Schizosaccharomyces pombe: one gene and its partners. The protein of the gene in region 1 binds, or shares a complex with, the protein of each later gene. Each region holds a gene or a part of one and is shown in the gene's direction. Other genes may lie near its edges.

What was found.
Region 2: rpb4 (region 1) and rpb9 share a complex: the UniProt entries of both Schizosaccharomyces pombe proteins name them as parts of the RNA polymerase II (Pol II) complex.
Region 3: rpb4 (region 1) and rpb2 share a complex: the UniProt entries of both Schizosaccharomyces pombe proteins name them as parts of the RNA polymerase II (Pol II) complex.
Region 4: rpb4 (region 1) and rpb11 share a complex: the UniProt entries of both Schizosaccharomyces pombe proteins name them as parts of the RNA polymerase II (Pol II) complex.

What each region holds. Positions count from the first base shown.
Region 1 is NC_003423.3:1,053,971-1,060,813, forward strand, and holds rpb4 (DNA-directed RNA polymerase II complex subunit Rpb4), read left to right. Parts: upstream 1-1,538; 5' UTR 1,539-1,691; coding exon 1,692-1,743; intron 1,744-1,781; coding exon 1,782-1,887; intron 1,888-1,932; coding exon 1,933-2,010; intron 2,011-2,084; coding exon 2,085-2,256; 3' UTR 2,257-2,532; downstream 2,533-6,843. Other genes in the region: Gtr1/RagA G protein Gtr1, read right to left, coding at 1-734; ubiquinone biosynthesis protein Coq7, read right to left, coding at 2,655-3,305; cho1 (putative phosphatidyl-N-methylethanolamine N-methyltransferase), read left to right, coding at 4,452-4,981, 5,037-5,097; pre-rRNA processing protein Esf1, read right to left, coding at 5,552-6,843. UniProt on the Schizosaccharomyces pombe protein: DNA-dependent RNA polymerase catalyzes the transcription of DNA into RNA using the four ribonucleoside triphosphates as substrates. Component of RNA polymerase II which synthesizes mRNA precursors and many functional non-coding RNAs.
Region 2 is NC_003424.3:4,749,449-4,756,598, reverse strand, and holds rpb9 (DNA-directed RNA polymerase II complex TFIIS subunit Rpb9), read left to right. Parts: upstream 1-4,193; 5' UTR 4,194-4,266; coding exon 4,267-4,307; exon of another isoform or gene 4,308-4,374; coding exon 4,375-4,441; exon of another isoform or gene 4,442-4,564; coding exon 4,565-4,614; exon of another isoform or gene 4,615-4,656; coding exon 4,657-4,789; exon of another isoform or gene 4,790-4,864; coding exon 4,865-4,915; 3' UTR 4,916-5,209; downstream 5,210-7,150. Other genes in the region: proteasome assembly chaperone Ecm29, read right to left, coding at 1-1,592; sdu1 (PPPDE peptidase family protein), read right to left, coding at 1,811-2,416; pro3 (delta-1-pyrroline-5-carboxylate reductase), read right to left, coding at 2,957-3,805; mid2 (septin ring organizing protein), read left to right, coding at 5,340-7,150. UniProt on the Schizosaccharomyces pombe protein: DNA-dependent RNA polymerase catalyzes the transcription of DNA into RNA using the four ribonucleoside triphosphates as substrates. Component of RNA polymerase II which synthesizes mRNA precursors and many functional non-coding RNAs.
Region 3 is NC_003424.3:847,488-857,091, forward strand, and holds rpb2 (DNA-directed RNA polymerase II complex subunit Rpb2), read left to right. Parts: upstream 1-3,148; 5' UTR 3,149-3,188; coding exon 3,189-3,204; exon of another isoform or gene 3,205-3,242; coding exon 3,243-6,859; 3' UTR 6,860-6,898; downstream 6,899-9,604. Other genes in the region: sst1 (calcium permease), read right to left, coding at 1-1,489; rps802 (40S ribosomal protein eS8), read left to right, coding at 2,033-2,635; ferrichrome synthetase Sib1, read right to left, coding at 7,036-9,604. UniProt on the Schizosaccharomyces pombe protein: DNA-dependent RNA polymerase catalyzes the transcription of DNA into RNA using the four ribonucleoside triphosphates as substrates. Second largest component of RNA polymerase II which synthesizes mRNA precursors and many functional non-coding RNAs.
Region 4 is NC_003424.3:1,429,851-1,437,054, forward strand, and holds rpb11 (DNA-directed RNA polymerase II complex subunit Rpb11), read left to right. Parts: upstream 1-4,075; 5' UTR 4,076-4,102; coding exon 4,103-4,152; exon of another isoform or gene 4,153-4,197; coding exon 4,198-4,287; exon of another isoform or gene 4,288-4,333; coding exon 4,334-4,565; 3' UTR 4,566-4,992; downstream 4,993-7,204. Other genes in the region: TATA-binding protein-associated factor Taf2, read right to left, coding at 32-63; SPOM_SPAC3A12.06C (sodium/calcium exchanger), read right to left, coding at 574-2,805; mrpl27 (mitochondrial ribosomal protein subunit L27), read right to left, coding at 3,199-3,303, 3,349-3,525; SPOM_SPAC3A12.08 (uncharacterized protein), read left to right, coding at 5,289-5,933; ure4 (urease accessory protein UreD), read right to left, coding at 6,740-7,204. UniProt on the Schizosaccharomyces pombe protein: DNA-dependent RNA polymerase catalyzes the transcription of DNA into RNA using the four ribonucleoside triphosphates as substrates. Component of RNA polymerase II which synthesizes mRNA precursors and many functional non-coding RNAs.

The sequences.
Region 1 (6,843 bases):
TGAGCTTGCATTTTGCTACAACTGAGTTTAAATTGCTTAACAATATTGCTAATTTTTTCGAACCTGTGAGCATCAGTGGCAGGATTGGACTCAGAAGAATAAGAAGAAATAACCAAAAATGTTGTTCTTTCAAATAATATTACCTCAGCAGCCTCAGCAGCTTTGGCAAATTCCCGGAGATGCGATTCCAAAGTAGGCGTATTAGGAATCAAAGTATAGACAATAGCAGACCATGCTTTGAATAATGTTTCATCCCAAATAGAAGTAGCTAAACAAGTGGTTTCAAGATCCTTACTTGTTTCTAACAAAATTGCCTTACGTTCCTCAAAAACTAAATCACGTAGATCTTCCTGAACTAAATCCATCTTGTGTATTAAACAAAATACACGAGCTTGGGGACTATTGGCCACTGTTGCTTCTAGACAATTACGAAAAGTTACTAAATCTCTTTCAAATTCTCTTGACTCAACATCGAAAACATAGATAAGTACTTGAACGTTTCTGAATATGTGATCACGCTGGGCAGATAAATAGTTTTCCATGAACGCCTCCTGTCCACCGCAATCCCATAGGTTCAAAACTAAATTTCCCAAGAACCTTACATGCGAATGTTCAATATCAATTGTAGCACCTAGCCTTCTCGTGTCCTTGGCAACATAATTGCTAAAAACTATGCTTCTCATTGAACTTTTGCCGCTGCCACTGCGGCCCATTAACAGGACTTTTTTTCTCATTTTTTCTAGAATAACAGAACTATCTTGAGATTAAGGGTAAAGCAATTAGTTTATAAAATTCTACAAAACAGCTGTCACTGCAATTGTGAGTGAATTCGTGTTTTTATGCGTTCTTTTTTAAAATCACAAGCAAAGAAAAAGTAAAAAAATAAGAAAGGGAGAAATGTAGGTAAAGGAATGCGAAAAGATTCTATAATATCCCGCAGACAGAAAAGTTTAAGTTGATTAGTGGTACAACGACATGCACTTCAGTCGATTACATCGTAAAGTTACGAAGTCTGTTTTCCTTAACCTACATATTAAAAATCAAATTCAAAGTCAAATTGTGAGAATTAAAATTAAAATAAAAATAAATTTACAAATTTATAAAAAACAAACATATAAATCAAGAACGAATGGTTCATCTCAGAATTAAGCACAGTAAAAATAGAAATAACCCCTTTAAAAGAATGTAACGTATTTTCAAATGAATATAACGAAATTAGTAGAAGAATCCTCATATCTGAGGTTTTTAAGGCGCATTAACGTTTAGCTATACGAAGTCTCTAAAGCAAAGACTTGAGAATAATTTTAATAGAAAGCTCTTTGGTTTTAACGAGAAAATACTCCAAAACCCTGGCGTCGTTAAGCTAGACAAATGATTAAGAAATATCAATAAAATAAATTTTTCTTAGACATCTCCGTACATCTCGGTAAATTCATAATGTTATTAAGAACAATCGTTATTTAGTTTTAAGATAAATATAAAATATCGTTATTATTAGCAGCGGCTATAGAAATGCTGCAATCAAGGACGCGATTTTTAGACACGAAGCAACAGCAAGAAAGCTGGTTGTTGTGCATAAAGAGCATTCTGACATTATTTTTGGGAATACATTTGTATAATAGTTATTGATTTAATTAGATAAAAAGAAAAAACAACATTCTGAAGAGAGTGTTTGCGAGCATCTATTCATAATGCCGAGGGCTATTTTTGAGGAAGATGCTGCACAATTAAAACTTGGTCCAGGTTGGATTTGAATTTTATTCTGTTGCTAATATAAAAAGAGTTTGAGAATGAGGATATGTTGACGGTTTCAGAGGCCAAAATCCTTATTGAAACAGTTCTGGCACAACGAGCACGCGAAACTAATGGTGAGATTCCAATGACTGAGTATGTCTTATTGTATGCATATTCTTTTTTAATTAACTAGGATAGTGTGATGAAAAAAACAGTAGCTTACTTCAATGTTTTTGCTCGGTTTAAAACGGCTGAAGCCACTTATGCATGTGAAAGGTACATAATTTCAAAGAATTGAATAGAATTTTAGAGGAAAATAGCCGTATGCAAATATTTGACTAACCTCATAGAATTCTTGGTAATCGATTCCATAAATTTGAACGTGCACAATTGGGAACACTCTGCTGCGAAGACGCTGAAGAGGCTAGGACCTTGATTCCTAGTCTCGCGAATAAAATTGATGACCAAAATCTTCAAGGCATCTTGGATGAGCTTTCCACTTTGCGTAAATTTCAAGATTAATGCAATAAATAGATCTCAGGCAAGTCTGTTTATTGTCAATTATGAAAACTTAAAAGGTTTCCGGTCTTATAAACTATTAGCTATATCAGGATTTATAATACGACGTTTTTGTCATTATTATTCCATAATTTATGAGGGGTCATAAAACTTTTTTTAACAAAATCTATGTTTTTTTATGCACCATACACTTCTTAATTAGTCTATTAAAAAAATATAATACAAACACTGAATACACGCGAAAAGGAATTTAGATAAAATGTATTAATTAGATTAAGTAAGTTTTAACAAGGATCATACTATTGTGAAGCAAGAAAAACTAAACATTTTGAATCAAATGGGCGTTCTTTGCTTCATAAAGGACTAGCAAGTTGAGTTTGAGGCAGGAAAACTTGAAGTATTTAAAATCGTTTACACATCCAGATAGCCGCTTTGCAACCCATTTGAATGGCATTGGTAAGCAATGCATGAGCTGGAGCTTCCTTTGCGTTCCAACCTTCGACTGCAGTGTTCAAATGCTCTAGCTCGTCATCTCGAAACTCTGCCAAATGGCTACGAATCTCTTTAAATTCTGGAGCTTTATTTTCCAAATGAGCCGTTTCACGTAGTTGGTCGTTATAGTGTCCGCCAATTACCGTTTCTACTGCCTCTGTACAAGCCATAGCTGCTTTGGTTCCAAGCAAAGCAGTTCCTGCTCCCAACGCAAATCCAGCGATGTCCCAGAAAGGACGTAAAAAGGTAGGACGGACTCTATTCTTTAAGACATAATTATCAAATGTTGCGAGATGGTACTTTTCTTGATCCCACATATGCTGAATGGTAGGTGCGACTTTGGGATCGGTAAATTGAAGGATAAAGTGCTGACCTTTGTAAATTTGATTAGCGCCTAATTCACCTGCTTGATCGACACGAATGACGCTGTCCAAAATATTTGAGTCTTTCTCGCTCAGTTCTTTACGGCCCATCGAAATTCTACGGCATGTTATAGAGGAGCGAAGAAAAGGAGAAACCGACTTGGTAGCAATGGGTATTAACTGTCTACGTGACAACATCTTTTGTAATGGTAAAAAGGCCTGAAATTACACAGAGTTATCAATTTTCAAAACGAAATTTTACTAATCAACAATAAACCAATATTTCTAATTCACTAATAGATTGAAATATTCGACGAAAGAGACTATGATGTTGATTGGGTGTGGAGGATTAGAATGTGAAGTTCTCTACCAAACCGAACGTTTTAGGCGGAAATGCTTAGTTGAGTAACACGTTAGGCTTGAGGTGTATTTCATATCAATCTCTGAACAAATCTGCAAAATTCAAGCTAGATGGTTAAGTTAAGAAGGAATTAAATTTAAGTGATTTGATGTTCACTCTATTTTTATGGAATAAAATATTCGATAAACTTGTCGTTTATTCTTTTGCTTGATTAACGCAGTGAATACCAGTTGCTTCAACTTTATTTTTAAGTCAAAATGAAAAATACATACTTAGTTTTTAAACTAAGAGATTCAATAAACAGTGGCGTAATTTCAGGAAAGAAGCAATGTATCATTTTTTTCCTTAGCTAAATGGCTTTGCTACAGTTTCATAGTGTTCGTCAATCTTGACGGATATAGAAGTTCAATAATAAAATGCTTCTTATAAACAATAAAAAAAAAAAACATATTTAAGCTGCAGTTTTAAAGTAAACTCCAATTTCCTATCTTTTTTCCAACCAATTCAACTCAACATTGTATTTTCGCTTAAAAAACTTTAAATTAATTACTAGTTCAACCGAAGGGGAATCCGAAGATATACAAATTTCCAGTATTACTGATATAACAAGTACAAGTAGAGACTCAAAGACACCCCATCACAATTAATTTTTGACTTGCTTAATAATTCAAGAATGTAATTTGGCATTATGGATTAATTTTCTTTGTTATAGAAAAAAAGCTCCAGAACCACACCCACCTCCCCCATCGAAAATTTACAATTTGAAATATGCGAAATCAATCATTTCTTTCCTTTTTCTAATTTAATCTTTTAAACACAAATGAGTACTTATGTTTTTCAGGCCTTCTCTCATTATTTTATAAAATAGCAATATCGTTAAATTCCGTTGTATCAAAGACGTCGTTTGAATGAGCTTGATTCTTTACCCCAAACCAACTTCGTATTTATATCAACCTTTTATAAAAGCATATTTTTCGCTAAACATGGCCATTTTTGAAATCAATAATTCTTTTTTAATTTGTGCTGTATCTATTGCTTTGAACCCTCTGCTATGGAATATTGCTGCACGTTCAGAATACAATCATAAGACTTTGACCAAATTGGCAAATGGCGACTCTAAGAAGGCCTGTTACATGCTAGCAGCTTGTATTTTTGTTGCCGGAATAGTTCGTGACTTAATTTATCAGAATGCTTTAAAACAACAACCTACGCTAGGTATCTTCATGAACCCTCTTGTGCAGGGTATAGCTAAGCTCATTTTTTGTTTTGGCAGCGTCCTTGTCTTATCGAGTATGTATAAGCTAGGACTTGTTGGTACATATCTTGGTGATTACTTTGGATTTCTGCTTCCAGAGCGTGTTTCTGGTTTCCCATTTAATGTCAACGATAACCCAATGTACAACGGTTCTACTCTTTGTTTCCTTTCTACAGCTCTGCGTTATGGAAAAGTTGCTGGCCTCCTTTTAACTTTGGAAGTCTTTTTCGTTTATAGAATAGCTTTGAAATTTGAAGAGTAAGTTGCCAACTGTTTAAATTTTTAAATTTTTCTTTACTCTAACCATTAATAGACCTTTTACTGCTAAAATTTACGCTGCTCGTGATAGCAAGCAAGCTAAAAAATCCGAGTGAAGCAGCTGATTTGAAGTGGCCATAAGTTAAAGCTTCATTAGAGTTTTTTATAAAAAAAAAAAAAAAAGGAACAATTTTAAATGGAATGTTCTGTTCATGACTAGTCCTTACCTTTACTAACGCTCCTCCTTTAACCGATTTTGCCCTATGTACTTTGACGACTTCAACGTCTGTATAATTATGCATAGTTTAACGCTTTTTTTTTCAAATTATTTAAGTGTGTTGATCGCGGTCTCAACACCATGATCCGATATTTTTATATTCATACTTATGTAAAAAATAATCTAATATTTTACACCATGTAAATTAACGTGCTTTCATTCTAAAATCAAATAAAATTCAAAACAAATATATTAGCAAACCAAAAAAACCCCGTTTTGACCAATTTATATGTACAAAATCAAACTCTATAAATCCAATCGTTCAAGAGGAAAAACAGAGTACAATTTCTAATTTATTTTCCAGAACGTTTAATAGATTTGACAATGCGATCAAGTTCTTGACGTTGATCTCCTTTTTCAGCTTTACGCTTTTTGATTTTAAGCTCAGGCTTACCGTCTTGTGTTTGTTCCAATTGATTTGAGCGTCTTTTACGACTTTCGTCCATAATTTTTTCCACCGTTTTAGTACGTTTGAAATGAGGATTTGTTGGATCAAGTGCAAAATTATGGTTAGTATATAGAGCAGCAAAACGTGGGTCACTGACATCAGCTTCGAATCCTTCCTGCAAGCCTTCCAAATTGGAGGCTTTTTTCTTAAGCTTGCGATTCTTCTTAAACTTTTCAGCCTTCAGTATACTCTTCATGTCAAAATGATCGAGCTGCTCAGAATCGTTTTCATCTTCACGAACAAGGTTTTCCAGTTCTTCTTTAGACGCGGCCGTAGGATCTTCAATTTGAGTATGCTTGCCCTTTTTGTTTTTCTTATTGTTACGACTAGCATCCTTGTCCTTAAAGAATGGATCATCAAAACCAAGATCAACGTCGGATCCTTCACCTTCATCGTCTTTTGTTTTCTTAAGCTGTCTCAATTCTTTCCGTCTTTGTTTTCTTTCAGCGGCCTTACGCTTGTATTTTTCAATAGTGGTTTCATCTTTTTCCGAAGAGTTCGCATTGTTATCAACATCAAAACCTGAAGTAAAAGTAACCTCCATCTCACCATTGGCGCCTTCAAGTTTGTCATCATCCTCAAAAGGGTTACTATTCGCTTGGAAGTCATCAGCATCACCACTTAATAACTTTTGGTAACGAGAACGAATAACATCTACATCCTCATCTTCAGATTCACTTGAGGCAATGTAAGCGCTAAAGTCTAAATCTTCAATATCCTGAGAAGTAAAAGCCTTTTTAATTAAATCCTTTCTGTGTGGATCCTCAGCATCCCACGAAAGTTTAACTTTTGAATGTTGCAATGCATCGGTGACAAAATCTCTCGGCTCATATTTTTCGGGCGCTTTAGTACATACTTCGCGAGATTCATCGTCGTCAAATGTAACATCATCTGGAATGAATCTTAAATCGTAAATATTAGCGCTAGTTTCATACTCAGCGCCATCACAAGTTTCGTATATAACCTTTGCCGTTCTTACACTATCACATTCCACTACTGCGTAATAGTAACGAAGCCTTTCTAATTGATACTGGCGTAATTTTACCATATCAAACTCGTTGCCTAAATCCTCCTCTATTAAAGCATCTTCCTCATCTTGATCAGACTCATTGTTATCAAAACCAAATTTTTGAGCCT
Region 2 (7,150 bases), on another chromosome or scaffold:
TCCGCTGAATAATAAATGCATCTCTCAATAAACTCAAGAATGGCCAAACAATACTCTGCAGCATTAGATTCCCAAAATTTTTTTAAATCATGGTCCGACAAAATAAAAGAGATTACTTCAGAGGCAGAAGGATAACTAGCGGCACGTACTTTATCTTCCTCTTGAGCTTCATTCGTGGAATACACACTATTATACTGAACCCATTGAGATAAGTTTAGTCCTTTTTTAGCTTCTTCAATAAAAGAGTGGTGAAATACGAAAGGATTTTGTACCTTTAGACAAATAAAACGAGCTGGCAAATAATCAAAAGGAAAAGCAACCAATACAAATCGAAGTGCGCAATACGCAGCAGGAGACTCGGGTGAATCAAAAATAAAGGGTTCTAATACTGGCAACAATTCGTTAGAAAATCGAAAATTACTATAGTACGGAATAATAATAGAAAGAGCTTCGTCAATTGAAACTCGTACGTCTGGTAATTCAGATTGTAAGGAGGTCAATAAATTTGTCAGCAAAGAATTAGTAATCAGATGATTATCAACCTTGGTCAGTAAACCTATCGTTGTATATAAAAATCCTCTAAGTAAATCACTCTGAATTATATTACTCGATAAGATGCTAAGAATTTTTTCCAATATCATCGCAGCTTTAGGTTTAAGAAAATTTGGATCAGCTTTGTCAACTACCCAACGAGTAAACTGTATTAACCGGGGTTGCATACTAGGAGGTGCTTCAAGAATGAATTCAATACAATTTATAGCTTTGTCAGTATTCGCAGCAATTTTACTTTTAAGTAAATGCTGAATTGCCTTGTTCCTTAAGCTAATGGAAACAGAAAAGTTTGCGTGCAAAGCTTCGATTCGAAACTTATCAAGCGCTATGTCTAATAGAACGTTCACGTGGGACAAATTCTCTAGATCAGGTAATCCACTATCACGCGTAAATTCATCTGCCAGTCGGGCAACTTCAGAATGAGAATCAGCAGAGGCAAAAAAGTAAGCCAACCACTTCCAATTTGATGGCCAGCTAGATAAATGAATCCACCGAAGCAGACTCAAGCGGTAATCTACTGTTTTTTGGGAAAATTGCAGGTCACTAAAAATCCTTTGATCTTTCTGAATCAAATAGAATGAAGAAAGAGATAAAATGACATCGTTAGAGCATGTAATAGCCGAAGTTGGCTTTGAAAAACGAAGTAAACGAATTGTCAATGTCAATAATACTAATGGGTATTCATTGACATGATTTAGACAAATCTGGAGAAGGGCCAAATTTTCAGAACAAGGTATCCTTTTTTCGCCTATAGATATGAAAGCAAGGAGAAATCTTTTTCGCAAAGGTTGATTTGCTTCAACGTACTGGCTTACTAAGGCTTCAAGAGGTAGTATGGCTTGCGCGTTATTGTTGAGCCTAGTCATAATGTGGTTTGCAATTGAAATTGTTTTGTTTCTCACACTTTCATGAGGCGAATCGAGTTTTAGTAAAATCGGACATAAAAAAACTGACACAAGCGATTGAAAGGAGTCCTCGCTTTCCGCTAGAGCGAGCTTCAGCTCTGCATTGTTTAATAATCTCAATTCATTTTCAGCCATTATTGTAGAGTTAATTATAATCACTAATAAAAAAACACTCTACAATAAAATACCAAACAAAGATGAATAAAGAGATATATATCAGAAAGCAAGTAATTAAAAAAAAGTCCCAAATTGACTTTACACTTAATTGATAGAACAAGGCATAAATAAAATCTACAATTTTGGATGTGTGTGTTGTATTTCGTAGGTTAAAAGGCTGACTAACAGCATGCGACTTAAGGAAGTGAATCAGTGATGAGGTTATTGAGGTCAGCAGAAGGAGGAGGTGCGGAAAATTTAGGAATATCTTTATGAGCTTTTTTACTTTTTGATACGATTAAAGTTTCTTCATCTACATCTGAAGAAGAATCCGAGGAATCATCAACGTCGGATGTATTTTTTTGACCGTGCTGTAATAAGGCATTCGTGATCGTAGGAAACGCCAATCCAATTCGAGAAATTCGATTTAAAAAAGAAGGGATAGGGCTGCCCGTAAGTTCAATTGCTGCAGCATTCGTGAAATGATTGCAATTTCTCTCTAATAAAGAATATGATAACCCCGTAAATTCTTGACTCAAACGAATCAAAATTCTATCCACGTCGGGTTTAGGGAGGGTACAATTAGGTAAAGCAATAGAACAGCGCCATCTACACCCTTCTAAAGGCGGTCTTGGCATGGTAGCAAACACACCGGTGGAGCCAGGAATTTCGTGTGCTCCGAACGCATATTCTTTACCTTCTAAAACCAATCCTGTATGGTAAATACCAAGTCCAAGAGTCCATGCTAGTTTGTTTACCGGACTGTCTGGCATTAGATCATACACATTAATGTATACTTTCATATTCGAATACGTTCGGATGGCGAAGAACAACTTGCAAATTTCCTTGGTCCTCCTTAAGCAGGTTGAATTTTAAGATTCGATACCTGTACAATTAAGTATTTTTAATAAAAAAAAGTAGAGTCGAATTAAGGATAAAAATTTAAAATACGGGAGCTGTTTATGGTGGTGATTTTGTTTACATCGGTACGACTATGACAATGTTAAAATAATCAAAACATAGTACGTTTCTTCAATATTGAATACCTTTAGCTAAATTCACTACGATAGCAATCGCAATGAAATGGGTTTAATTGCATACAACGTTCTAAAAAGTTAATGAAATATAATCTCGCTGTTCGAATACGCATATTATTAGTAATGTAACAGAATTGCAAGCTTAAACAGAGGAATCATTGAATGAAACTAAGTCACAACGCTTTAATACAACTAGATAACGAAACTAGCTTTAAAGAGGAAACAGAAGTACTAACCCAAGAATTTTATATACAAATCCATGTTTGGAACCAGGATATTTAATAGCACAAAATGAATTTGCTAGTATCATTTACCCAGGCCAGAAGCAGTCTTGGTTGCTTGTTCTATACCACGTGCGATTGTGCTTCGAATTTTTCCATCTTCCAATGCCAACAAACCACTAATTGTACATCCGGCAGGAGTTGAAACATCATTACGAATCATAGCAGGATGTTGACCTTGTAAAACCATACGACCTGTACCAACCATAGTTTGGGCAGCCAATTCCTGAGCCTGAGGGAACGGAATACCCATCATTACACCACCATCTGTCATAGCCTCAATCATAGTAGCAACAAAAGCAGGTCCACTTCCACATACAGCGGTAGCAGCATCAATAAGCTTTTCGGGAAGTTTCATTGAACGTCCAATGCCATTGAATACCCATTCAGCAAACTTTATGTCTTCTTCAGTTGCGTTGGGTCCCGGGCAAATTACGCTCATACTTTCACGGATTCGACTAGCAGTATTGGGCATAATGCGAATCACCCTAGTACTTTCATCAAGCATACTTTGCAATGAAGAGATGGTCTTGCCAGCCAAAATTGACAAAATTAATTTTCCTTTGAGCGCTTCTTTCATCTTTGGGGAATTCAAAACATCCTCTGCGGCCTGAGGCTTACAACTCAACAACAAAACGTTACTAATCGCAGCCATCTCGGCATTCTCTTTGGCCCCCATTACAACTTTAACACGATCTCCGAAAAGCTTTTGAACATCCTCTTTTTCTTTAGGAAATTTGACACAAGCATAGAACTTATTCGGAATGATAATTTCGTCAGAAACATCGTTTCCATTTTCAGCAATGGAATCAAAGATTCCAGTCAAAAGTGCTTTTCCCATTGTACCACAACCAAGAACACAAAACCCCGACATTTTTTAAAGTTATGCTTAAAAATGTTTAACTATTTTTGTAGTCTTCTTTTAAAGCGAAAATAAATTCGACTAAAGCATATGCTAAGGGATCGTTAATTCCAAAATCAAACTCATACTGTAAATTACCGTTTTACTCGCTGATGTGCATAATGTAAGATACTGAAGTATGATGTTACAAGTTTGTAGGACTAGTCCATGTTTGAATAATGCTACACGTTAAAGTCAATATATCTTCTATATAATTAGTAATATTAAGTATATCGCAAATAAATTTTAAAGCAGCTACACAGTTTTTAACGAAATCTTGTAGAGACGTTGTAGATAAACAAAAGCTTTTTCGAACTTATAGATGTGAACCATCAGGACGCTGTTGTCCACTGTATTTTCCATATCCACTAACCACCACGTTCTTTTGAAAGTTTATTGCGTTGAAGTAAAATACTTTTGTTTGCTTTTTTAAAATGTCAAATTTTCAATATTGTATAGAATGCAATAATATGCTGTACGGATTAGTTTCTCAAAAAGATGACACTGAAAATTGTTTGAAAACACTAACATGAAATAAATAGGTACCCTAGAGAGGATAAAGTGGATCGTGTTCTGAGGCTAGCTTGTCGTAATTGTGATTACTCAGAGGTAAGCTTGTTTTTTTCTCCTACTGGGTTTATTCACTTCAAGAAAAAAATTCGAAGTTCTTTTCGATTACTTTTTTCCTCATCATTTGGAAGTTTTAAATATCTCATCAGCTAATTTGTATAGATCGCTGCTACTAGTAAAGTTTATCGCCATGAGTTACAAAGCTCCAATGTGTAAGTTAGATTTCATCCTTCGAATAATCACTAAATTTGTAGAGAAAACACGACGGTCAGTCACGACGCTTCAACGGACCCTACTTTACCTAGATCAGACAAAGAATGCCCGCGTTGTCATCAACATGAAGCAGTTTTTTATCAGACTCATTCTCGTCGGGGTGATACTATGATGGTGTGTTTCGCATTGTTTCATTGAGAAAACAATTTTAATATTTAGGTTTAAAAACAATTTTACTGACTTAATTAGACTCTGATTTATGTTTGCGTACATTGTGGATTTGCTTTTGAAGAACAGTAATATGCGACAATTCGGTCTAACAAGGGATTGTAAAACTAGCTGCGTCCACCAATGGCTCTTAGACTTCGGTTTAAATGATCCGCTTGATGTAACCACTCTCTCGCTTCTGTGCTGGAAAACTGGATTTTCGAGTGATACCAGCCACCTTTGCCGAAAATGGATTTACCAGCCTCTCAATCATATGCTCGCCTCCTTCCTTTATATTAAGCAACGCGCCTACCAAAACACTTGAATTTCTTTATTTCACATTCGGTGTACCTTCTGGAATATACTGAAACTGTTTCAGTTATTTGTATACAATAATCCATACGGAATAGCCTTGTAATCCGAATACCAATTAAATAAAAACCCTTAATTCTTTGTGCCTTTATTTTTTTTTATATTCTAATTTCAGCAGAGCTGTTAAATTCCAAGGCTTTCCATAATGTTGATGACTGCTTCTCAACAGGATCAGCATGCTAAAATGTATTTAGCTGACATCCATAGAGCATTGAGAATTCCTTCTCCCATCCCAAGTACTGATTACGAATGTTCTGACTATGCCTCTACAATCGCATCGATATCTCGAGAAAGTACAATGAGAAATTTTAATCGCAGTAACATCTCGTCTACGGCCCCTTCTTTTGCTGAATCTGAGGATGCTGAAGATGGCGATAGTTTCCCTTATGATCAAACGTTATCAAATTCTTCCAGTTTTGATGATCATCAGTCTCTTCTTCCTTTTTCTACAGAAGTTCGTAGGACCCCAACTTACTCTGTCATGAATGAAACGGATAGTAGTAGTACAAGTGTTGAAGACGTAAACAAAGAGAACATACTGTCATTGAACGATTCATGTTTGATCAAATTATCTGATGATGAGGCTTCAAATAAAAGCAGTCGTAGCTCGACTCCACGCAACTCGATAAAGAGTAATTCATCTAACCAGGGCCATGGCGACATACCAATTCCTAAAAAAAATCCTGCTCGTTCCGTTTGTAATTCAAAGCTTTTTAACGAGGACACATTGCCAGCTGAATTTGAAGAAGTTTCAATTTCACCACCTGTCAAACTTGAGTTACCTACTCACTCTCATAATTCATCTGACACTAGTTTTACGAACAGTATAGTTAGCAGTGTTAGTGACATGGTTGGTCTTGGCGAAGGTATAAACAGTATTGCATCTTTTGGTTTCTCTGAAGATTCGTCCTCGTTCCAAGATATAAAGACACCTCCTCGCTTATCATTCGCAGATGAGAACCGAGAGAATTGTAGGACTGATATCTACCGTTCAGATTCTATTCATGAATACGAAGAGCCACTTACGAGCTCCATCACCTCTTTAGATTCCCCTCATGTTCTTGACGAAAATGCTCCGATACCGCTTCTTCCAAAAGTGGTTTCTTTACCAGATCCTCGCTTTACAAATGTTCTTTCAGCCTTTGACGCTTTGACTAGGACATATTTGCTACGACAGAATTCTAAAGTTGTACATGCCACTAGTCAGAAACAAGAAATGCAAACTTCGCGGCGCGTTGTCAATTCTTGTTATATGCCAGAATCGTTATCGCGAAATTTGTCCAGTAGTTTGCAACAAACCGGCGGGAGTGGAAGATTGTTTGTCCGTCTTATGGAAATCAGAAACTTAACTATTCCTTTGGCATCGGGGATGACCACTAGGTTCACTTATACAATCTCTGGTAAGCACATTCAAGTACCATGGAACGCCTTACACTCTACTACTAAAATTGAAAATGAGTATACTTTTGATGAAAGTATTAGTTCTTCAATTGTATGTACGCTCCGTGCGGCTTACGATCCACCTAAGGTTCGCACTCGTTCTACACTTGGAAAAGTATTTTCAACAAATAAGAGAAAGTCTATGACTACCGACCCCGTTTCAGAAGCACTTCATGGATTTGTTTCTGAAGATGGAACTTTCGGCGAAGTTACCATTAACACTGATTCTGTAAGCCGAACCGCACTAGGCCGTTGTCAATCTATGGTTCTACCAATCATGAACAAATGGACTGTTGATCCGGCAGCTAAAGATGTCAAGCCTCTCCCTCGAAAAGTAGGAGAACTCGAAATCCACGTATTTTTCTTACCAGCGCTTCCTGTCTCTCTGAAAGAACTTCCCGCTTCAATCGAGTCTGCCATGTATGACTTAAAGCTTGCTGAATGGGATAGAACTTTATTGTGTGATGGTTATCTATGTCAACAAGGTGGGGATTGCCCTTATTGGCGTCGTCGCTA
Region 3 (9,604 bases), on another chromosome or scaffold:
CAGCGTTACCCTTACGCAGAGCAACTGAGTAAAGAAATACCTCAATTACTGAACCAAAAAAGGCATTTATAAAAGCGCCCATTCCCATACTGCTTTGAGCCGAAATTGAAGCCACGGCCATTCCAATAAAATATGCAAGAGGGATAATACTCACCAACGAAGCAGTGAATAAAAATACAGAAGAAGTAAACCAATGACCTTGGGATCCAAAAAAGCCAAAAAAAATGGTTGGGATTATGAGCGCTAGCATATCAAAATAAATTATGTAAATACCATCGATAGTATACTTATAATACTTCCAGCTTGCTGCTTTTTTTACACATAGTAAGACAACATCTGAAGAATCCATCGATAACGGCAAAGCGAGATTTGGACGAAAAGACAAAGATAATGGGCAAGTTCGCAAATGTCGACAAATAGCCCATAAGGTCCTTGCACATGGAACGAAAAAAATAGTAAACATACAAATTGCAGAGGTAATGAGTAGTGTCGGAGCAATAATCAAGTAATACATAAGTGTATAAATGATACTGGAAGCGTTTCTTCGATGTGGGGTAGTATTGCAATCTAACGATTGGTTCATTGGATTAACACAGAAAGAAAACGAAAGGAAGTTTAAGCGGGCCGGATCCGGGTGATGTGAAGTAGGAGTTTCATCATAATGGGAATGTTGAGTCTGATAAATTGGATGAGCAGGAGAGCGTACTGATAGACGCTTGACTTTATGTCGAACATGTTGACCAAAGGGATAGAGGAGATAAAACATAAGGCCTCGACAAAGCTTAGAGTAAACGATCGCGTCAGGCACATTAAAAAATGAAAGGACTGTAAAAAATATATAACATATAAAGATCACTAGAAAAAGAGGAGCCCCGAAACAAATCAGCCATATGACATTAGAGATGGAGGTGTTGGGGCGTTTCAGAGGTTCATCGTGAATATCAATGTCAGCATCACGGTTTATGGATCGGAACTTTTTATATAATGCGGGTTTCCATAGCCGCATCCCGAATGCACGAGTCTTGTTAATAGCGTTTTGCCTTTCTTTCAAAGTAAAGGATTCTTCAGATCTGAGAGAGGCGGGAGACTGACCTCTTAAGGGAGACAGAGGACGTACCTTAAAGTTCTGCTTAGGAATATCTCTTTGTTGCCGAACATTACTAGAACTACGACTTAAACGAGATACCGAATTTCTGGGATGCTGACGAGCATTTGAAATAGTTGAAGTTGATGGATCAGTCCGAGAGGAAACTTTCCGAGTATACTGATCAATTTCTCTAGGAGAATATATGTCACGATCATTGGTAGATTGGGATAATGAATCCGTTGCATCAGCGTCGCCCACAGTTGGCATTAAGAAATCGCCGAATCGCAGATTCTGTTCATAAACTGAAGAAGAAGGAGTTTCTTCTGGTCTATCAGCCCGTCGACCCTGGGTAATGGTTTCCGCAGAGCTCTCAGATTGATTTATATCAGCAGGTTGAGACATTGTAGGCGGTAGTAATTGTCACAATGATTACTTTTCCGAATCAAACCCTCGCCAAATATTCTATCCCTTAAAACACCTGTACGTAGCTAAGAGGATTGAGTAAATAGGTATTTATAAAAAATTGTTGAAGGAATAGTGAGAAAGGAAGGCATGATTGGAAAGGTTGCGATCATTTTCTATTACGCATATCATAATCAGAATACCAAATTGAAAAAAAGAACGCCAATTCTACAATATCGAAGTCCTCCCATTAGTTCGTTAATGAGCATACAATGTTTACTTCGTTAAAGATTGTCGGGATGAATTGAGCTTAATCAGAGCCGAGCATCGTTGTACAGTTTACTAAATGTAGAGCTAAGCGATAATACGCTAACTTACGGTATCGGTTTTTGTAAGAATACACCGAATTTCGTTAAGTACAAAGTATTAGTAGTAGTATGAAACAAAAATAACAGTCACAGCCAAACCCAAACAATTTCAGTTACTGTGTTATATACTAGTTCATCGTAACCACAGCAAATCTCTTTCTGCAAAAGGATCAGGATGGGTATTACGAGAGATTCCCGCCACAAGCGCTCTGCTACCGGTGCTAAGCGTGCTCAATACCGTAAGAAGAGAAAATTCGAGTTGGGTCGTCAACCTTCCAACACTCGTATTGGACCTAAGCGTATCCATGAGGTTCGTGTTCGTGGTGGAAACAAGAAGTTCCGTGCTCTTCGTCTTGACTCTGGTAACTTCTCTTGGGGCTCTGAAGGTGTTTCCAAGAAGACTCGTATCATTCAAGTCGCCTACCACCCTTCTAACAACGAGTTGGTTCGTACCAACACTTTGACCAAGTCGGCCATCGTCCAAATTGATGCCGCTCCTTTCCGTGTTTGGTATGAAACTCACTACGGTATTTTGATGGGAAGCAAGGGTAAGAAGGCCACTGCTACACCTACTCCCAAATCCAAGCATGTTCAACGTAAGCATAGCGCTCGTCTTGGCGATTCTAAGGTTGATTCCGCTTTGGAAACTCAGTTTGCTGCTGGCCGTTTGTATGCTGTAGTTTCCTCTCGCCCTGGTCAATCTGGTCGTTGCGACGGCTACATCCTTGAAGGTGAAGAGTTACATTTCTACCTTCGTCGTATGGCTCCTAAGAAATAAGGTTGTTTCTTCAATAAATTAGTTCATAAAGGAAGGAATAAAAGGATTCCGAGATTGTTGTATTTCACCTGTATTGTTGATTATTATCAGTAACCAAGGTCGTTAATTATGTAGAGAAGGTAATTTTTATTATTGGCATTTAGAAAAGTGTCTGCTAAATGTTTAGTAATCTCTCCATTTGTCCCAATCAGTAATTGAAATTCGTTTATGTGCTATTAGATATGATTTCTTTACTAAATCTCATTGAACTACGTTTAGTGAAGCCTTTACCTTTTTAATAAAAATTCACGCTAAGTAGCCTTTTACACATAATGAAAGAGTTGCGAATTGCTTTGAAAGGAAAATGGCCTTTCACGTACCTTAGCTATATTGAATGATTAAAACAAGTAAAAGATATAAAAAAACTGGTTCTTTTTTTGATGCTTAAAGACTTTTTTACTGAACACAAAGTCGAATTGCCACTACGGTACGATATCCTTGTTACGGTAGCCTCAACATTTATTCCTCTTCCTCACCGCCAACATATCCTGTTGCGTGTGCCATTTCAACAACAATGTCTTATGAGGATTGTAAGTTACTAATAAAGTCATTTTTAACACCATAATAGATCAATACAATGAGACATTGACTCAGGAGGATTGTTGGACCGTGATCTCGTCGTTTTTTGAGGAAACGTCGTTAGCTCGGCAACAATTGTTCTCTTTCGATGAGTTTGTTCAAAATACTATGCAAGAAATTGTTGATGATGATTCCACTTTAACTCTAGATCAATATGCACAACACACGGGTGCTCAAGGAGATGTTACACGTCGATACGAAATAAATTTTGGACAGATTTATCTTTCAAGGCCTACAATGACTGAAGCTGATGGTAGTACAACTACTATGTTTCCTCAAGAGGCGAGGCTTCGTAACTTGACTTACTCGTCTCCTTTATACGTTGACATGCGTAAAAAAGTTATGGTTGCTGCCGATTCTAATGTTCCCATCGGCGAAGAGGAGTGGCTTGTTGAAGAAGAGGATGAAGAACCCTCAAAAGTTTTTATTGGAAAGATACCAATCATGCTCCGTTCTACTTTTTGCATTTTAAATGGTGTTAGTGATTCTGAATTGTACGATTTGAATGAGTGCCCTTATGATCAGGGAGGATACTTTATTATCAATGGCTCTGAAAAGGTAATCATTGCTCAAGAGAGATCTGCTGCCAATATTGTACAAGTATTTAAAAAAGCCGCTCCGAGCCCCATCGCTTACGTTGCTGAAATTCGCTCTGCTTTGGAACGAGGTAGTAGGCTTATTTCTTCTATGCAGATTAAGTTAATGGCACGTAATACTGAGAATTCTGGTCAGACAATTAGAGCAACACTTCCATATATCAGGAGTGACATTCCTATCGTCATCGTGTTCCGTGCTCTTGGAGTTGTACCTGATCGTGATATTTTGGAACATATATGCTACGACCCAAATGATTTCCAAATGCTTGAAATGATGAAGCCCTGTATCGAAGAAGCATTTGTGATTCAAGATAAAGATATAGCTTTGGATTACATTGGTAAAAGAGGCAGTACTACTGGTGTTACGCGTGAAAAACGTCTTCGATATGCCCATGACATTTTACAGAAAGAGCTGCTTCCGCATATTACTACAATGGAAGGTTTTGAGACTAGAAAGGCGTTTTTCTTAGGTTACATGATCCATCGTATGCTTTTGTGTGCGTTAGAGCGTCGTGAACCAGATGATCGAGATCATTTCGGGAAAAAGCGTCTTGACCTTGCAGGTCCATTACTTGCATCTCTGTTCCGTATGCTCTTTCGTAAAATGACTCGCGATGTGTATAAGTATATGCAGAAATGCGTTGAAACAAATCGTGAATTCAACCTTACCCTGGCTGTGAAGTCAAACATTATTACCAATGGTTTACGTTATTCATTGGCTACTGGTAATTGGGGAGACCAAAAACGCAGTATGGTTAATCGGGTTGGTGTATCACAAGTTCTTAACCGATATACATTCGCTTCAACTTTATCACATTTAAGACGTACAAATACTCCTATCGGTAGAGACGGAAAATTGGCTAAACCCCGTCAGTTGCACAACACACACTGGGGTATGGTTTGCCCTGCTGAAACACCAGAAGGACAAGCTTGCGGCTTAGTCAAAAATTTGTCTCTAATGAGCTATGTTTCCGTAGGTTCACCCAGTGCTCCAATTATCGAGTTTTTAGAAGAATGGGGTTTAGAAACACTGGAAGATTACAACCCTTCAGCGTCTCCTAATGCAACAAAGGTCTTCGTGAATGGTGTGTGGTTAGGAGTACATCGTGATCCAGCTCATTTAACAGAGACGCTACGCAGCCTTCGTCGTAGATTGGACATATCTGCAGAGGTTAGTATCGTTCGCGATATCCGTGAAAAAGAGCTTCGTCTCTTTACAGATGCAGGTCGTATTTGTAGACCATTATTTATTGTGGATAACAATCCTAATAGTGAAAGAAGAGGAGAGTTATGTATTCGTAAAGAGCATATCCAACAACTAATAGAGGATAAAGACAGATATGACATTGACCCCGAACAACGCTTTGGATGGACCGCTTTAGTATCTAGTGGTCTCATTGAGTATCTAGATGCAGAAGAAGAGGAGACGGTTATGATAGCAATGAGTCCGGAAGATCTTGAAGCATCACGTCAAATGCAAGCTGGGTATGAAGTTAAGGAAGAACTGGATCCTGCACAAAGAGTTAAGCCAGCTCCTAATCCTCATGTGCATGCTTGGACCCATTGTGAAATACATCCTGCGATGATTCTTGGCATCCTTGCTAGTATTATCCCTTTTCCTGATCATAATCAATCACCTCGTAATACTTATCAATCTGCAATGGGTAAACAGGCTATGGGAGTTTATCTTACAAACTACCAAGTACGAATGGATACCATGGCAAATATCCTATACTATCCACAGAAGCCGTTGGCGACTACTCGATCGATGGAGTACCTAAAGTTCCGTGAACTTCCTGCTGGCCAGAATGCTATTGTCGCCATTCTATGTTATAGTGGCTATAACCAAGAAGACTCCATTATTATGAATCAAGCTAGTATTGATCGAGGATTATTCCGCAGTATTTTCTACAGAACGTACACGGACCAAGAAAAGAAAATTGGCATGACTGTTATGGAGGAGTTTGAACGGCCGGTCCGGTCTACAACCCTAAGGATGAAACACGGTACGTACGACAAGCTTGAGGATGATGGTTTAATTGCTCCTGGCACTCGAGTGTCAGGCGAAGATATTATTATTGGTAAAACAGCTCCAATTCCCCTAGATCATGAAGAATTAGGTCAACGTACTCAGTTACATGCAAAGCGTGACGTTTCCACTCCTTTGAGAAGCACTGAAAGCGGTATTGTTGACCAAGTAATGGTCACCACTAACCAAGAAGGCTTAAAATTTGTTAAAGTTAGAATGCGAAGTACTCGTATACCCCAAATTGGTGACAAATTCGCGTCAAGGCATGGTCAAAAAGGTACCATTGGAATGACATATCGTCATGAAGATATGCCATTTTCTGCACAAGGAATTGTTCCTGATATCATCATTAATCCACACGCCATTCCGTCTCGTATGACAGTTGCTCATTTAGTCGAATGTCAACTTAGCAAGGTTTCTGCTTTATCTGGTTTTGAAGGTGATGCCACACCTTTTACAGACGTTACGGTTGAAGCGGTTTCTAAGCTGTTACGTTCACATGGCTTTCAGTCGAGAGGATTTGAAGTTATGTACCATGGTCATACTGGTAGGAAGCTTGTTGCCCAAGTTTTTCTTGGTCCCACATACTATCAGCGTCTAAAGCATTTGGTGGACGATAAAATTCACGCTCGTGCTAGAGGACCTGTGCAAATTTTGACTCGTCAACCCGTTGAAGGCAGATCTAGAGATGGTGGCCTTCGTTTTGGAGAAATGGAACGTGATTGCCAAATTTCTCATGGTTGTAGTAGTGTATTACGAGAACGTTTGTTTGATTGTTCTGATGCGTACCGAGTTATAGTATGCGATATTTGTGGTTTGATAGCGATCGCCAGTTACAAAAAAGACTCATATGAATGCCGATCATGTCAAAATCGTACTCGGTTTAGTCAAGTTTATTTACCGTATGCTGCCAAGCTTTTATTCCAAGAATTGATGTCGATGAATATTGCACCGCGGTTATTTACTAAAAACCATAAGTAGTTTTGCTTATTTGAATAAATTAATACATAAACATAGCATGAACATACAGAAGGATGATCGGTGTGATCTTAAAGAAGCTATCATTTATTTACATAAGCTACTTAAATTGTGTTCTAACAGATATATATATTATTTATATAATAATAATGTAGTTGTTACCTAATTTCGGCTTCAATTTAAAGTTCAATTTCCTTAATAATTGTAACAAAATTGTTTATAAAAACACTGGCTTCTCTTTTGGAAAATATAGACGATTGGCAGAAAAGACCAATTTCGAGGTAACCATCTCGAATTGCCAACTCAAAATCTAACTTGGGTTTGTTTCCAAACAAAATTTCACAACCATCAATGGTGGTTTCAACTTCGTTAATCTTTAGTTCCGCATTGTTGAGTTTCAACGGGTATACGCTGAAAACTTTACTTGGTTCATTGTTATCACCAGTTGACAAGAAATTTACTGCGATATCCATCATGCCATGAACAGGGAGATCCAGCAAAGATATGTATTGTAGGTTTCCCGAAATCTCATTCAAAAAAGACTGAATTTCGAGAGCTATTTCACCTAAAGGTCTGAAAGTATCTGTAACTCTTAAAGGAACCACATTGAATGTTGGAAATAGCAGTTCGTCAATGTTGTCAACGTCTAGTGTTCTTCCAGAAACATAGATTCCAAAAACCACGTCTTCCTGTTTGACTTCGTTTGCTAGAAGGCGAGCAAAAACTGCGAACGATACGCTTTGTACTGTCAAACCACGCGAGCGTACACTTGAATAAACTGTATCTAGAGAAAATAATTTGGGAAAGAATAGTGTTATTTCTTGAGAGGCAGAAGGTTTCTCCAAAAACGTATACGGTTTATAATTCGTTAAATAATTGTTCCAGAATTTTTTACGAGATAAGCCAACAGCAGGATCAAGAACTGTTGAAAGGAATAGTTGCGAGTTTTGTTGCACAATAGTTAAGCTATCATCGTAGTACATCTTAGATAAATAGTTGATCATGATATCGAGGCTCCATCCATCGTATAATGCATGATGTATTGTTAGACAAAAAACAAATTTTCCGCTAGTTTCGATAGTCGCTATACGAAGAGGGACTTCTTGTAAAGTAGTGTTAGTAACTAATTCTCTTTTCTGAATCTTCAAGCAAGTATCGTGCAAGTTGTCAGTTATGTAATGTTCCCAGGGACATTCAAAAGACTTAAGGACTATTTGCAGCAAAGGATAACATGGACTCGAAGATCTTATGAAGGTGGTACGCAGAATATCAGATGATTTGACTAACTTCGCCCAAGCCAGTTTCAATTTTAATAGCTCAATCTTTTCTTCAGTAGTGTAGAAAAAAGTATGAAAATACTTCTTCTTCTCCGTATTGTACCACGCATTTAATGCATACATTTGTCCGGCAGAACAAGGTAATATTTTTTGAACTAAATTAATCGGAATATTTGATGGAAGTGTATTTAAGTATTCATCAAGTTGAAAACTAGCAATATCAAATGAAGAAGATGATTCTTTCTTTTCATATTGCAAATAGTGAGCTAGTTTTTCTATTGAGGAATGTTGCAAAATATCTGAAACACTAACGTTGAGTCCCTTGTTTCGTAAATAAGAACATAAATGAATCGAGCGAATAGAATCCATTCCTAACTGGAAAAAGTTATTGGAAATATCTACAGAATCCTGTGGTAAACAGATAATTTTCGAAAACCCTTCGAGAAGAATTTTTTCAGTCTCATTTAAATGAATTTCATGTACCGCCGACAAAATTTTCAAATTATCAGCGGAAATGGAATTATAGATATTCAGAAGCTTTCCCTCATTTTCGGAGTGATCAAGGGATCTCGGAAGATAAGAAACTGGAACCAAAATATCTGGGACCATTGCTGAAGATAAGGTGAGACGAAATTTCTTGATATAACTTTTGAGCATTCGAATAATTTCTTCATTGAGAACCAAATAAGGAAACTTTGCGTCAGGCTCAGGGAAAAGGATAAAAACAACTAACACACGCTCATCGATGATTAAGAGATCGCAGTCTGATATAGCTTCTTCAGTAAGCAGTAGATTCTCTCGAAAGTCTTTCAAATTGATCTGATATTGCCGGTACTTAACAAAGTTGGAAAAGTTAAAAGTCAGTTTTTCAAATGATCCCTTAGTTAAATTCGAGAATATCTTGTCAATTGTTTGTAATAGTTGATTAGCAACGTCGCCATCAACACGTGCTAAATCTAAAGAAGTCAACCAGTTTAGTGTGTCTCCTTGTATCTCAAACTGTATTGCTATCGGATAATCAACCGCTGAATTATCTGTTACCACGTTTAAAAAAGTTTCCGATTGGGAGGAGTCAGGTAAATGTTGATATACTAGAATGCTTTCCATGGGTATTGCCGCGACGTTTCCATATGTTTTGTAAATCCAAGACAACGGCGTATGTTGCTGCTTTGCTAAATTAATCAACATTCGTGAAGTCTTTTTTAATGTCTGCAATGCGCCTTCAAACTTAATCCTTACAGGAATTGTATTCATACAAGGGCCCATAACAGTTTCTGCACCTTCTATGTAAGTTCTACCCGACAAAACTGTATGAAACACAATGTCAGGACAATTTAGTACAGAGGCTATATAATAACCCCATGTAAAAAACACCAAGGACTGAATACTAACCCCGTACAATTGACATGCCAGTCTTACTGAAGGTAAAGATACTGTAGACATCATAGAACTCATAAACTTTCCATTGTTG
Region 4 (7,204 bases), on another chromosome or scaffold:
TTTTCTTTTAAATTATACATATATTATAAACCCACGAGCGGGTACATCCACCAATTGTGACATCTTACTGTCTATGATTCTTGCATAGATAAATTATACGAATTTGGAATATCACTGTAGATGGCAGCACACACGCAGTCTATCCAAAGAGGCTCGTTTAACGAAGCCTTAGGTGTTTCGCTATACTTTTTGTTATAAAGCTTTATACGATATAGTAAATACAAAATTAGCTTTTTCAAACAATGAAATGGGCTTATAAATAAAAACTACTTCTTGATTGTTAAGTCAATTCCTTCTAAACCGAGTGAAAATTAAAAAGAGGTGAATTGTAAGCATTTAATAGAAGACGAATGCTAAACTAAAAAAAAGTAGTAATGCTCCAAAAGTAATCAACTCAAATAAATTTGGGACAGAATGGATAAACGAATTAAATAAAATGCATTCCAAACATAAGAAATAAAATTGACGAAAAAGAGGGGATAATTTTGAAGTTCCGGGTTAAGCATGATCTTCCATAAGTGAATTAGTGAAACTTGTCTTGGTCATTAGGAGAAATAATAAACGTAAATCAGCTCATTTGTCTTTAAGTAGCTCAACCACTATGTTAGTAGAAGTCCCAACAATATATAATATGAAAAGTAAAAGTCCTAAAACTCGATTAACTCGAAACCTGTTTAATGGAACATAGATCAACAACAGCAACAAACAAGCAAGTAAAAAATAAGCAGTAATCGACAAGGAATGAGGTATTTCAATGACACTGTCATTTCCGTGGTTGGAGATACTTGAATAGAAGCTTGAAATGCCAATACCGATTAAAATATTCAGAGTTGGACCTCCAAATACACCACCCATTGCCATTTCGGGAAAACCAGAACGAGCGATCATAATATCCGCAATGAGGTCACTTAAACTATTACCAGCAGCGAAAACAGTGAGTCCAAGTATAGATTCGTTCAAGTTGAAAATGACACCGAGGGCTCGTAAAATACCTACGACTTCATTCGCAATAGTCGATATCCATATTATACCTAATACGAATCCAATGAAGCTTACCCACGGCAGAAATTTTGGAGGTTTCTCTTCATCCGTATAATAATACAAAGCTGTGATGCACAAAATAGAAAACACAGAAGATGCAGCATAAATATATAAACGATTCCCGCCTGTGATGGAAAAGGTCACAAAGGCAAAAGGAACGAACACACATTGTAGTAAGCGAAGTTTACGGGACCATGTTGGTTTTGATGGATTACAGTTAGATACATCCATATGATAAATGGGATCAACTGCCAATCGCGGGCATTGATATACAGGCAATGCTAACGTAAATATTAAAACAGATGGAACAGCTAAGACGTCCATTAACTTCTCATACCATGATTTTTTGGCAAAATTTCGCAAAGTAGGGAAAAGCAAAGAACTAAGTGATGGCGAGGGTAATGGAAAGTCTTCGTCAGTGTGAGTTGGGTGACGAAAGATTTCAGAAACAAGGGATTGCACGCTATTATTGGCGCTAAATCCCAAATTGGGATAATTAATTCCACTCACAGGGGTGTTAATTCCACTGGGATAAAAATCGCTTTGAGAATGGCGAATATGCATAGGATGCATAGTAAGATCACCGTCTTGAATATTCAATGGATCAAGTGAGCGTAATCCCGGATGTTGTTCCTCATTCGAAGATCTAAAGTCGAGAGCAGCAAGCAACGAAGGACGCACAATGGGGCCCGATGACTGACTTAGCACACGGTTAGAATGAGTGTTGTTTTTGTGAATAAAATCATGGACATGGGAATGTTGATATGAGGAATACGAATTTGAAGGGTCATTATCGTTAATGTAATGTATTTTTTGGGTCTTTCTAGATGCTTGGGCAGGCAAGAGAAATGCCTCTTCGGATAATTCAGAATCCGTGCTACTATAGGAATCCGAGTCATCGAAAGAATTTAAAACCGGTGAGTAGACTGGAAGGGAGACAGGCAAATAATTCTCATCAGTGATTACCACGCTAACACCAGAGCTACCAGAGAAAAAGACGAAAAGAACGTAGAGTAGATAATAAAGTATCATTACGAGACTCTGCCAAATACTCAACGAACCATCATGCAAAACAAACATTATAACAAGTAAAATAGTACCGGTAAGGAAAGCAACATCCCGAAGGAAGTGACGCCGAGGTATTTTAAATGGCTTTATTAAACATACGCTGCCAGCAACTATGGCTACGATGAAGAATGCAGAGCCCAAAAGTTCCCCAATAGCCATTCCCCCACTGTTGACACGTACAGCAGCGAACGTACTAAGAATATCAGGAGATCCATTGCCTAAAGCAAGAAAAGTAACGCCAACCACAGAATCGGGCAATTGAAGTAGCCACGAAATAGTAACCAAATTGGTACTAAAAAAATCACTAGCAGAAATTCCGATAGTTATGAAAAGGAAAATCAGCCATCCCACAATTATTGATAACACTGGGAATCGGAGACTGTTAATGGTACAAAAATAAAATTCAACGTAATCAAAGAACCCACTAGCCTCTCCCTTACAGTAAGCCTTTGCAAACCGACATTGATTAGCAGGGGTAATGTTTTTGATATCATTGCATGTAAGTAAAATTTGGTCGTTGCTATCATTTAAGGTATTTCCGCGCTCAAAAAGATGGACGGTTGAGTCCGAAGTCGAGGATACTGAAGCAAACGCTTTGCTAATCCGATGAGTCCAGAATAAAATGTAGGCAATGCCAAGGATACACCAAAGTAATATTAGTCTGTATTTCTTCAAGAAACATGAAGTTTTCGACATTTTTATACCTGATATCCAAGATATAGAAAATCCATGCTTAAACCGCATTGCTAGGTATTAGCAGCCCTTTTTTTTCTAAGATAGATGGGATGAAAAAGACTAATCCTATAATAAATATATAAATGCGCAGTACTCAAGATTGCCCCCAATTTTGGCAGAAAAAGTAAGAATGTAACTAGTATATTTAATAGAAGCAAACGTCACAACAGAATATCGATAAATATACGTGTCCGTAAACAATAAATAACAACAGTCAACGCAACATAAGGTATCGTAACGTAGAAATTTCTCCTTTCAAAGTGTATGCCCAATCATTAACAGATAGAATAAAGCAACAGTTGAAAAGGGTACCAAAATTTTTCAAAACAATAAAGAATGAGGCTGATAAACATACTAGCTATGAGCAAGATCAAAATACACAGCTCCATCCAACCCATTTGCACCTTCAGGATAAGTTCCTTTAGTGGCTTGAATTCGACGAGAAACAAAAGGCAAAAGCTTTGAAAGTTAATATAAAACAATATTCATTAATTTACAACATACCTCACAATCACCAGAAGGAGGCACAAACGTGCGAACACGCGACCACTGGACAAGAAAACCTCCATGCCTGGTTTTTTGACCCATTTTCCCAGTTCTTGTACCCTTGTAATACTGATGACCCAACTTTGTGGTCATTGGCAAGCGTCTTGCTCCAAAACATAATAATGATTGATGCATTTTGAATAACTCTCGATTTGGGTAAATGGAGGGTTTAAGTTGGCGCGTTTTCCGTCATAAAAGAAAAGGTAACGGTATAAGGTAACAGTCAAAGCGAAACATAGAATGTAAACAATAAAAATATTTGTTTAAAACGAACAAACGAATTACATTATGAAACTAAAAAATGAAATAAGTACGAAAAACTATTTTTTTTTCAACATTTAAATGAGCTTTCTTGTTGTTTATCTTTCTGCACAGTTCAATGAAAACAAGTACGGTTAATCTACAATTAAACGCCTCAAAATATGCCTTTAAAAATTTTAGTTATTAAAATCAGTTATTAAAAAATACTGTTACATCTCCCATTTCATTACTCGTTTGAGCCGATTTCCAACAGATAAATATATATTAAGTGTCCGTTCACGTTCGCGTTATTTATAACGAAATACGATGAGTTGTGGAATAAAGTGTTAAAGCTTTTGTTAAATGGCATTACGATTTATAGTGATGCTTAATGTACAGAACGTGGACAAAACCCTCGTAAGCATCAACATCTTACTTCTTCTTCAGCTAGTCGGCTGAAAACGTTGGCATAATGAATCAGCCAGAACGGTATGAGCTCATTGAGCTTATGGGACTCCCCAAGTAAGGAATAAACAATTTTACAAGGAATTGCATTAACCAGTGTAGAGTCACATATGAGCTCGATAGCAAATCACCTAATGCCGCAGTAGTTACTCTTGAAAAAGAGGATCATACATTGGCTAATATGCTTGCAAAGTAAGACTTCTAAATTTTTTTTTCTTTTCTAACTGCTTTTTCGAAGTCAACTCCTATCTGACGAAAGGGTTCTTTTTGCTGGTTACAAAGTTCCTCATCCATTAAATCACAATTTCATACTTCGTGTACAAACCGTAGAAGATTGTTCTCCAAAGCAGGTTATTGTTGATGCTGCTAAGTCCCTTATTACTCATCTGGAAGAAATCAAAGTTAATTTTATGCGTGAATGGGAGTTGAAAATGATATCTGTTGAAGGCGTTGAAATGGAGTTTTCCTAAAATCCACGGCTGCTTTTTCTCTAATATTTATTAGAGTTTTGTTTCAAAAAATACAGAATACCCTCTGTATGCATCTTTATTACAAAAATTTTGACTTTCGTTTTCGCAACTTCTGTAATTTGGACCGAAGTCGTATTAAAAGGGAAAATAAAAGTTTCTTTCTTTTTTGAAAACAGATGCTTTAAAAAAGGTGAAAGTTCTCCGATCTTTTATTGTATATGCTTCTTCATAAACCAACTAGAAAACTGCAGCAATGGCGATGAAAGTTTTTCTAGGTACCTGGATTATTCTCTGATATTGCTTTTTTTTTCAAAGTTGAATTTTGCTGAATGTAATCGAAGTGATTAATTTCCTACAGTAGGGCAGAGCATCGATTCTTACATTCAATCTTAAAAGAAATAAATTAATTAATGTTGTACTATTACAATTTATGTCATTGAATTATTCACAATCATCATTTTCTCTCCAAATGCTTTGCTTCAATTGCATTACGAAATTTGTTTATTCCTGTATTAGTTATTATTATAGAATACTTTTTGGATATGTAAGTAATTATATTTTCTTAAAATATACGATAAATATTCTTGCATAAATTAATGATACCCTATGCTTTGCACATATGCTCCATCTGCGTATCAGTTTTATAACGTCCGAATATCGCTAATAGTAAACGCTCCTATTACATTGTGACGAAAAGTTTGAAACTTTGTTCAATTTTTGATTATGAGCTCTAAATTATTTCAAAATAAGCTGTTATTAGCAGGGATTGGGGGATTTATGGTAGGCGGTCTAGCTTCTTGGGTTGTTTCCAGTGATGCCTATACAGCATATCATCGACTACCAGCAAGTGCGAAACATATTTCTGAAATTTCGAAATCGCCTGAAGCTGTTCAAATGATTGATAACATTTATCGCGAACGTCAACGCAGCATGAAAATGGAGGAGCATCCGTCCTTGCTTCAATCTAAGTATCCTTCCAATTTTCTTTCCTTTAAAGATGGATTGATACCTGTATTTAAAACATTTTATGACCCCGAACATGAAGAATGGATCAGCATTGGACTCATGGGTAAGGCTTTGACAGGATATCAGAAACTGGCTCATGGGGGCGCCATTGCAACTTTATTGATCGAGTCTCTTGAGACTGTTCGGAATCTTAGATCATCGCAAGCAAATTCACAATCAACACAGCCTCGGGACCCTATTCCTACTGAAAACTTCGATGTGCGTACTCCCAGTTATAGCATAAACTACAAAAAGCCTGTGCCTGCTGGAGACTGGGTAATCGTTCGAGTTAAAGACGATGTTGCACGATTATACAATTCTAAAAGTCAGCTGTTAGCTGAAGCTTTGGATTTACAATCGTAGTCATTGTTAAATGCCATTTATGATATTAAAACTGCAAACCTTAACCTTCTAATGATCATACGAAAACAATGATATTTTGTTACTTGGATTTGTTGTGATTACAATTCCAAAAATGCTTTTACTTAACGTGACTGCATTAACAGATTAAACCAGAGACAAAGGTCTCTTTTATGAAATAGATACAATCTCTTTGAGATCTATGTCTCAAGTGCTATATCCAATTAGTTAGTTATCTACTGTGTACTAAATAGTAAATTTTCTATAACAGTTAGTAATTGAACGTCAAGTCCTAGCCAAGAGAAGCATGTTTTGAGTCGTTCCATATAGCATAAAACTTTTATTTGCTTGGAATAAAAGTATAAGTACAGTAACCAAGACATTGAAACAAGATTTGGCAATCGCAATTAATATTTTTCAATTGATCCACAGAAAAATTAAGGATTAAAAATAAGCAATTACCGGATACATTCTCAATTTACACTTTAGGCAAATATTCCTCTTCGAGTATTAACCACGTTTTTGTAAATCGAGACTTTGGCAACAGGTTATTGTATTCGAAACATAACTGATTCCATAATTAAGTAATTTTTCAAAAAACGCAGAAGCTTTGATGGAATTAAGGGAGTAGAAAAAAAAAACGATTCGAGATTTCTGTAAAAGATTTCAATTACTGGAACATCCTACTCGTAAAACCGAAATTTAAAAAAATTAAAAGCGTGCTTCAATTATATCCCAAATAATTATAAAATATGGACCCTATTAAATTGGTTTTTCTTTTTTTTTTAAAGAAATACGAGTTCACATGTTCAGTACCAAAAAGCGCGAAGAGTTTCATGATCTAGAAAGCTTGCGTAGTCCGAAAATAATTTCAGAAGAAAATTTCGTGCAGTTTCAGTGTTGTAAGCAGCGAATTTAATTATTGTAACCGACCGAATTTCACAAGCAGTCCAGATAATCTTCTTCATTTGAGATGAATCCGTTGTTTTTGATATCCTCTTCTCCTTGTTCCTATATTGGTTCAAAACTGCTTCTTTAGTTTTAAGAAATTTTGGTCCTATAAGATACAAATTGCCTATACATTCAAAGTGATGCATTCGTTCGGCTTTTAAACCAATATGTAGGTTAGGCTCATCGAATATTTTTAACACATCTCTCAAAAGCGTTTTTCTCTGGTTTGAAGCTGGAATCTTCATCTGGATACAATTTTTGGACACATAAGATCGCATACTCCATTGTTCATTGATATGGCTTCGACCATGTAATGTCCAATC